Linked DNA regions of Arabidopsis thaliana. The protein of the gene in region 1 interacts with the protein of each later gene in a pairwise test. Each region holds a gene or a part of one and is shown on either strand. Other genes may lie near its edges. The genes, in order: PTAC5 and HSP21.

Region 1 (5,007 bases):
TTCTTTCTAGTGTAGTTGTTACCTTTTTCATCAGAGTTTAAAGCAATTTAAAATACCGATTATCGTAGCTGGTATTCCAAAAAAGTTGCTTTGGCATATATACAACATAAATTAATAGTATATGTGTTAAAAAAATATGAAGGTACAATGTATCTGTCTGCATCAATGACATATGCATCTTTTGAAAATAGCTGATATATTACGGCTATATTTTGCTAACAATCGCAAATGAATTGAATTTAACTCTATAGACATATACTCATTTTTAAAAATTTAATAATTTTCTTGGAAAAGATAAAGATCCGTTTGTAAGATAATTGTGTAACACAAAAGTCACCTTTTTGGCTTACCAATAACAAAGTTTTAATAAGCTTGCATGCATTATTGTTCAAAGACTATCTAAAGGTTTTTGAAATAATAATAAATCATTTTAGAAAAAAAAACAAAATTATACAACCAATCTTGTCGGATGTTTTTTTAATAATATTGACTGTCTTAGCTTATGTTCGGTGGTGCTTACACTAAAAAATTAAAATATTTCAGTGAAACTACTTACAATAAGTTAAAAAATATTTCAGCGTTTCTTACCATCAGAATTTGGAATGGATCCGTCACGTATGGGACATGCCATGCCACCAGGAAGTGAAACATTTGATCAAAAAATGGAAATACGAAATGCAATTAAGGCCGCCGGGATCTCCCACACATACCTCGTCGGTGCTTGTTTTGCCGCATACTTCGGCGGAAATTTATCTCAAATGGGAACTTTGTTCCCTCCGAAAAACAAAGTTGATATTTATGGGGACGGAAATGTTAAAGGTTAGAAGAACTCTTATGGAACGCTCTCTCTTCATATTTTTCTTTTTTCTATTTGTGTCACTTTTATAATCATGAAAATTCTAAAAAATCTATTTTTGTTCCCATTGGTTTTATTATAGTGGTGTTCGTAGATGAAGATGACATGGCAAAATATACAGCGAAGACGCTTAATGATCCCCGAACGTTGAATAAAACTGTGTATGTTAGACCTACCGACAACATTCTCACACAAATGGAACTAGTTCAGATATGGGAGAAACTAACCGAAAAAGAGTTGGAGAAGACCTATGTTTCAGGAAACGACTTTCTTGCTGACATTGAAGGTAAATCTAATCATCATCTAGTAACCAAATTAAACAAACCTAGCTTTTGGATTATAGATTTCTATCACATCTCTTAAATAAAGCATTGGATTAATGTAAGGTTGGTTTAGTATTAAAACCGAAATGTAAAAGTTGGTCATGCCAAGTATTTATTTTCTATATATCACATCTCATAAATTAAAGTAGACGTTTTTGTCTTTTAGATTCTAGTAAATTATGAGAAAGAGTTGAATTTAGACCAAGTATTTATTTTCTATTAAATGTGAAAATGTTTATTATATACATGCAGATAAGGAGATATCACACCAAGCGGGACTAGGACACTTTTATCACATATACTACGAAGGTTGTCTCACAGATCATGAAGTTGGAGACGACGAAGAAGCTACTAAACTCTATCCGGATGTGAAGTACAAACGCATGGATGAATATTTGAAAATTTTCGTATAATGTTACATATATGTGAAACACATCGCCATTTCCTTATTTTTATGTTTTACCATGGCCTTTTGTTTTGTTTGCTTGAAGATGTTTTCCGAATTTATTTTAAAATTTAAATGTTTCAGTTATGGATATGTCTGGTTATATATAGATATACATATAATCTCAAGGGTCCGAAAATTTCCAAAAGTAAACTCAAGGGTCTGAAAAGATAATTTGGAAATTTAAGTCCTTTTCCTAGAATACCACCGATAATATAAGGGCTTTATACACAAATACACAAGAGATACTTCGAGAAGAGATTAAAAAATAAATAACATAAAAAAATGGAAATTATCTTCCCGCCATGTGTATGTGGTAACTAACAAAAGCTTCGATTACTTTATCCTCTCACTCTCTAATGGCTTCTTCTTCTCTACCTCTTTCTCTTCCGTTTCCACTCCGATCTCTTACTAGTACCACTCGATCTCTACCATTTCAATGTTCTCCTCTCTTTTTCTCTATTCCTTCTTCAATCGTTTGCTTCTCCACTCAAAATCCCGACCGCGAAGAGGTCCGGTGGCTCCGGGAAGAGCAGAGATGGATTCGCGAGGAGCAACGATGGATTCGTGAAGAACAGAGATGGATACGCGAACGTGAATCGCTTCTACAAGAGATTTCGGATCTACAGCTCAGAATTCAATCCCTAGAGTCACGAAATTCGCAATTGGGGAATTCTATTCCCGATACGATTTCGAATATCGCTGCTTTGCTTCAGGTTTTGAAGGAGAAGAATCGGATTTCTGAGAGTGGATTGAGCGCAACGCCGATGGTATTGGAGAGTACGAGAGAACAAATTGTTGAGGAGGTGGAAGAAGAAGAGAAGCGAGTGATTATTGCTGAAGAGAAAGTTAGGGTTTCGGAGCCGGTGAAGAAGATCAAGAGGAGGATATTGAAAGTTGGAAGCGAAGGCGACGATGTTCAAGCTTTGCAGGTCTGCTCTCAGTTTTAAACCAAAGGCGAGTAATTTGTCAATTTAGTTCTATCATCACTGAGAATTAGCTTAAAATTGAGAGATTAGGATGATGATTTGAAGTAGTTTAGCCAATATGCATAAGTTTGAGGTTGATTTTAGTTGAAAGTGTTGGGAGAATGTTTATTTTTTTGATGGTTTCTGTTGTGGATTTGGTTTCCTCTATGTGATAGGAAGCTCTGTTGAAATTAGGATTCTATTCGGGCGAAGAGGATATGGAGTTCTCGAGCTTTTCAAGTGGGACTGCAAGTGCTGTTAAGACTTGGCAAGTATGTTTTTATGCATTTAGCTCGCAGTGATTTTCTCATGTGCTCATGTAGTTTTGATTTTGACACGGTTCATGTTTATGGTTTAAAAGGCATCGCTTGGGGTCCGTGAGGATGGGGTAATGACAGCAGAGCTTCTTCAGAGGTTGTTCATGGATGAAGACGTAGAGACAGATAAGGATGAAGCAAGTACAATGAAGAAAGAGGTAAAAACTGAAACCACTAACTACAGCTCAGAGAACTTGTTCTATAGCATGGCTCGTTTCTAACCGACTTATATAATATGATAGATTTTAGCTGTGTAGTAAGCCTTTGGAGTAGTTATGAAGTCTCTCTTTACTTTGGTATGCAGTCTTCTTACGACAGAATATGGACTCCCATTGTATGCTTTTGGCAAGCTTGTTAGCTAAGATGATGTTTCTGTTGCTAGTGAGCTTTGTTCGGAATCTGAAGTGTCTAATATGAGTCTGAAATACAATTGGTAAATGGGATAAATACTACATTGTCTTGTTTGAGGTTTTAGGGAACATGAATATTCTGAAATTTCTCTTAATTTGCTTAATACACCTGTTAAGACTGGTTCTTTATACTGGATCTTTCTTTTAATTCCATTGATTAAGGAAGCTGGTAATGGGGCGGTATTTACTTCAGTGACACAAGTCCCTGAGAAGAAGCAATCAATCGTGAAAGATCAAAGTGACAGAGAAGTTGACGTTACTCAAAATCGGGTTTTTCTTCTTGGAGAAAACAGATGGGAAGATCCCTCCAGGCTCATTGGCAGGAACAAACCGGTAGACAGAAGTGAATCAACAAACACCAAAACGAGGTGCATCACTTGTCGAGGGGAGGGTCGATTGATGTGCCTAGGTAAATCCCTTCTCCCTGGTTAAGTGAAAATCATCCGTTCTTTGAAAGTTAAGAATGATTTTTCTTAGCAAATTGAGACTGCTAATAGACACCAACCTTAGTAACACTTCAAGCACTGAGTTGTAGCACATTATTTGATGATTATAAAATGAAAACTTGATGTAGAGTGCGATGGAACCGGTGAGCCAAACATTGAGCCGCAGGTGAGTAAAATCAAAATAACCCCGCTCCGATTATGTGTATGTATGTATTATCAAGTAGCCTAAAGCAGAGAAGCTCTTGTCCAATGTTGTAGTTCATGGAGTGGGTTGGTGAAGATACGAAGTGTCCGTACTGTGAAGGTCTTGGCTATACAGTTTGCGATGTCTGCGACGGCAAAAAAAACTTATAATAATGATTCATATTTAATTTAATGAAAAAACAAATTAGTTTGTTTTCCAAATCGCATAATATGGTTGTTTAAGAGAGATATATATATAAATTTAGTGAACAAGTACGTAGTTAGTTTGTTTTTCAAATCACACGAATGGAAATCGTCTTTTTAGGATAATTTCGCATAGGTGCTATCAAATTTTAAATTCAATTAATTTAAATTAATGTCAAACCGGAAATAACATTTTATTTTATATTTTCATTTCATTTAAATGTTTTTTATATATATTTAAACATGAAGTCCAATATCTTATATTTTAATTATCAAATAATATTCACTTTGTAAAATTAACAATAATAACTATTAATTTTAGGCATATTATTTTCGTAAGAAGAAAAATATTAATATCAATTTCCTAATAATAATAATATTTAAACACATCATTCAATTTAGAAAAAAAAACAAACAATATTATTCAGTTGAATATTAAACATTTATACAATATATTTTATTTATACGGAAAACTTCTTATAAAGTATTTTATAAAAGATTTGTAGATTGTACGAATATTTTCTACTTTTAAAATTATTATTTAAAATCTTTTAGTTGTGAAATTTTGTATGGATAGTGGAGAATTAATTGTGAGGATTGTTTGGATACTTTGATGGTAGAGATAAAATATATTTTCTTCTTGGAGAAAACAGATGGGAAGATCCCTCCAGGCTCATTGGCAGGTAAAATCATTGGTTATTTGAAAGTTAAGAAGAAAAGCTAGTATTCGTTCTTAGCAAACTGAGACTGCTAATAGAAACCAACCTTATAGCAAAAGGTTGGATCTTTTAATCCAACATGTTCATCGTCCCAACATAATCGATGTTTAAAAGGTTTAAAAGAAAAGACAAGACT
Region 2 (3,919 bases), 5.9 Mb from region 1:
TGAAGCTGATAAAAGCACAGGAAGAAAACACGACGAGCATGAAGACAGGCCTACTCAAAGTGTGTTCCTTTATCACACACAAAATAATAATATGCACTTACCAAGCTTCTGAGCATCTCCAAACCACTTGCTCATCAGGTTTGAAACCCTAACATTAATGAAAACAGCTCCTGACTCTTTGGCAATAGCCTTAGCAAGCATAGTCTTTCCAGTACCAGGAGGTCCATAGAGCAAGACACCTTTTTGAGGTCCAAGAAGCTTCCCGTAAGCAAAAAGCTCAGGTCTTTTCAGTGGTAAAATCACAAGCTCATACAAAGCCTGCTTGATGGTCTCCAACCCTCCAATAGAACCAAACTCCACATCAATGTGGTCTGGATTTATCACATCACATGCAATTACATCCTATTCACAAAATTAGAAACTAGTGAGCAATTTCTCGAGCTCATTTCATGAGTTTGCGCAAAAAGACGATTGGAACTCAAAAGTATCCAAATTTCAATATTAAACAGAGAGACCAATACAAATTGGTTATCGAAACCACATATCGCATTCTCAGGTAGCTACCAACCAGTGAGGATTCTAAGATGCTTAATTCATAGTAGATTACCTCGTATGGATTGGTCTGAACAAGAGGACGACCCAAACGTTTAGAGATTTCCTTCTTATGCTCGAGAGCTTTTTTAGAAGCCTCACGATTAGGATCGAGATGACGAAGACCCGCAAAGAGAACCAAGCAGCTGAAAGCAGCGCTCGCCGCGTAAAGTATGAGTTCTTGTAAGATCTTTGTCTCCGACGAACCTCCCATGTCTCTTCTAAAAATTCAACCTTTCAATTACAGAGTATCTCAAATGGATAAATAAAACCCTAAGTTAGTCAAGAAATTAGGGTTCCCAGATGAAAAAGAGGATATGTTAGCAGAAGACGGAAACAAATTTGGTTGTTCTTGTGGACGACGACAGAGCTTTTGCCTTGGTGGGGGTTTCTCGAATACTTGGAGATCGAGGAAAGGAGAAGCTGAAATTACCGAAATAGCCTTAGCTGCACCGTCGTAAGTCGTGTAACTAGATTGTGTCAAGAAGGGCCTTTAATAGGCCTTCAATTCAGAATGTTCTAAAACCGAATTAAAGTACTGTTCGGCGTCCACTAGATTTTGTAGGTACTATTGCATCATCATCATCTTATATCAGTTCAATGTGTGTCTTGTTTTTTCTTTTTTAGTCTATTACATCATCTGATCTTATTCTAGCAGCCTTTTGAAAATATAGAGAAAAATCATTCAATGTTTCTAAAACCAAATCTATACACAAAACATAAAGTCTTTTGGATCATTGAACATTTGATCGGATTGCGGATTAATAGATTAGAGCTTAAATTTTGTATAATTTTATACCAATCAAAATTAATATAGAGTCATGTCATGCTATTTGTATAATTTATGTACAACAATTATTATATAAAACGACTTGAACAATTCTGTGATAAAGAAAAAAAAAAAAAAAACGACTTGAACAATTCAACATGCTATAGATAGTTTATACGTAAGCTAATAAGCCTGTTTGATACTGTATATGACATACGTGTAGCTGATATGATCAAACTAGACAAAATTTTCTAATTTCTCCCGTAGATATATATTTTTAGTTTACTTGGGCATTCCATTTCTCATATGTTTCTGCAAGTTAGCACACATAATGGTGACTTGGTGAGTTGCTTTTTTTCTCTCTCTTTTTCAATATGATATGCTTTCTTCGATTTTTTTATTTTTTTTAAACAATATATCATCTAATCATGGTTTTTTCGTAATCGTGGTTTTTCTAATTGTAGAAATCTAGTCTTTTTTTTTCGTTTATTTTGTTTTTATTAGTTCATCACAAATAAACACTGATTGGCAAGAAGGAAAAAAAGAAGATGGTTCGGGAGAAGATGAGAAAACACGAGAAAACGCACAAAGGTTAACAAATAGTAAAATAGATAGATAGAAAACAAAACGAGTCGAGAAACTTCGTATCAAATCTTCAACCTTCAAGACCTCTCCTTTTGTCACTTAGAGCCTTCTCATCCTCACCTACATATATACACTCACTTCTACAATTGTAGTAGATACTCAACAAACTCAGAACTAGAATTTTCTAATCTTCACTCAGCGATATTTTTGGCTCATACTCGAAACAAATGGCTTCTACACTCTCATTTGCTGCATCGGCTCTATGTTCACCTCTTGCTCCATCTCCTTCTGTCTCATCGAAGTCCGCTACACCGTTCTCGGTTTCGTTCCCACGGAAGATCCCTAGCCGGATCAGGGCTCAAGACCAGAGAGAAAACTCCATTGATGTTGTTCAGCAAGGACAACAAAAAGGGAACCAAGGATCAAGTGTCGAAAAAAGACCTCAACAACGCTTAACCATGGACGTCTCTCCTTTCGGTACGTTCAACTAACTAAACGGACTTCACTTGTATAAATAAAAACTACATCCTCTGCTTATTACTTAAAACATTGCTCTGTTTTTATGAACTCAGCTTTTGTCAATCGAAAATCTCTTCCTCTGCTTTGAACTGAAACAATGTTCTGTTTTAATCTAACCACAGGATTGTTGGATCCTTTGTCACCAATGAGGACGATGCGACAAATGTTAGATACTATGGACAGGATGTTCGAGGACACTATGCCTGTCTCAGGAAGAAACAGAGGAGGAAGTGGAGTGTCAGAGATTCGTGCACCGTGGGACATCAAAGAGGAAGAACACGAGATCAAGATGCGTTTCGACATGCCTGGTCTCTCTAAAGAAGACGTCAAAATCTCTGTAGAAGATAACGTACTTGTGATCAAAGGAGAGCAGAAGAAGGAAGACAGTGATGATTCTTGGTCTGGAAGAAGCGTTAGCTCATATGGAACACGACTTCAGCTCCCAGACAACTGTGAGAAAGACAAGATCAAAGCTGAGCTCAAGAACGGAGTCCTCTTTATCACTATCCCTAAGACCAAAGTCGAACGCAAAGTCATCGATGTCCAGATTCAGTAGGACTCGATCAACATTATCCTCTTGTTTAATGTTTCTTGGAGGTACTGTTTGTTGTACATAAGCATATGTTTCTCTTTATAGCTTAAAGTGTGTGATGCAAGTAAAAACAACAAAGAGAGATTTTAGAGAAGTCTTTTCCACAAAAGAAATGAAATAATGGCACTAATATTTGGATATGTAATTGCTGAGGAGACGACACTAAATAATCTGTGAGTATTTTCTTAAAATACACCAATCGAGAAAAATCTGTTTTGTTTTCCAAGTAAACGTGATCTGATAGGAGTAACAACCAATCAGAGAAAAATCTTAAATCAAAAATTCGGTTCCATTATTTTATAATTAAATTAGAAGGTAATAGTCAAAAGAACATAGAAACAGTCCTTGACACATGTTGAATCCAATGAAGAAATACGTCTTCACACAAAGCCTTAAAACCAAAACTCATAGTTAGTCGAACAACTATTCAAAGCCCCGCCATAGACATGAATGTGACGTAGAGTAAGAGACAGGAATATTAAGACACGTAATTTGAAGTTTCTACGAAAACTCCAAATGATGTAATAGTCTAGATTTAAAAGTGTTGCTAAATTAACTTATTCGGGTGAATGAATGTCCAAACATGATTTTGGAATCGTTCATAAGATATGCTTTGGGGACATTCACAAACATATCTCCCCCCGATATGTTCAATACCTAAATGTATTTTGCATACTTTACTGGGCTGAGTCATGTCTCATTATTTGGGCCAATAAATTGGGATTTAGCATTATTACCCATATTGATATAAAGGTCTTGAAAAGGCCTTAACTAATTGTAAACCCTAAAACACTCTCCTCTCTAATCACGATTTATTCAAAAATAAAATCAAATATTTCTAATTCAAAAATGAGATCAAATCC

The links.
Region 2: the proteins of PTAC5 (region 1) and HSP21 interact in a protein complementation assay, tested with the Arabidopsis thaliana proteins (one study listed by BioGRID).

The regions. Positions count from the first base shown.
Region 1 is NC_003075.7:7,946,661-7,951,667, forward strand, and holds PTAC5 (plastid transcriptionally active 5), read left to right. Parts: upstream 1-1,918; 5' UTR 1,919-1,983; coding exon 1,984-2,556; intron 2,557-2,768; coding exon 2,769-2,864; intron 2,865-2,953; coding exon 2,954-3,067; intron 3,068-3,213; coding exon of another isoform or gene 3,214-3,267; exon of another isoform or gene 3,268-3,481; coding exon 3,482-3,728; coding exon of another isoform or gene 3,729-3,751; exon of another isoform or gene 3,752-3,890; intron 3,891-3,893; coding exon 3,894-3,931; intron 3,932-4,023; coding exon 4,024-4,119; 3' UTR 4,120-4,362; downstream 4,363-5,007. Other genes in the region: PRR2 (pinoresinol reductase 2), read left to right, coding at 579-819, 939-1,142, 1,432-1,592. UniProt on the Arabidopsis thaliana protein: Exhibits zinc-dependent disulfide isomerase activity. Required for seedling and chloroplast development under heat stress, probably by maintaining plastid-encoded RNA polymerase (PEP)-dependent transcription.
Region 2 is NC_003075.7:13,818,149-13,822,067, reverse strand, and holds HSP21 (heat shock protein 21), read left to right. Parts: upstream 1-2,096; 5' UTR 2,097-2,172; coding exon 2,173-2,422; intron 2,423-2,586; coding exon 2,587-3,020; 3' UTR 3,021-3,243; downstream 3,244-3,919. Other genes in the region: AT4G27680 (P-loop containing nucleoside triphosphate hydrolases superfamily protein), read right to left, coding at 102-402, 608-805. UniProt on the Arabidopsis thaliana protein: Chaperone protein required for seedling and chloroplast development under heat stress, probably by maintaining plastid-encoded RNA polymerase (PEP)-dependent transcription.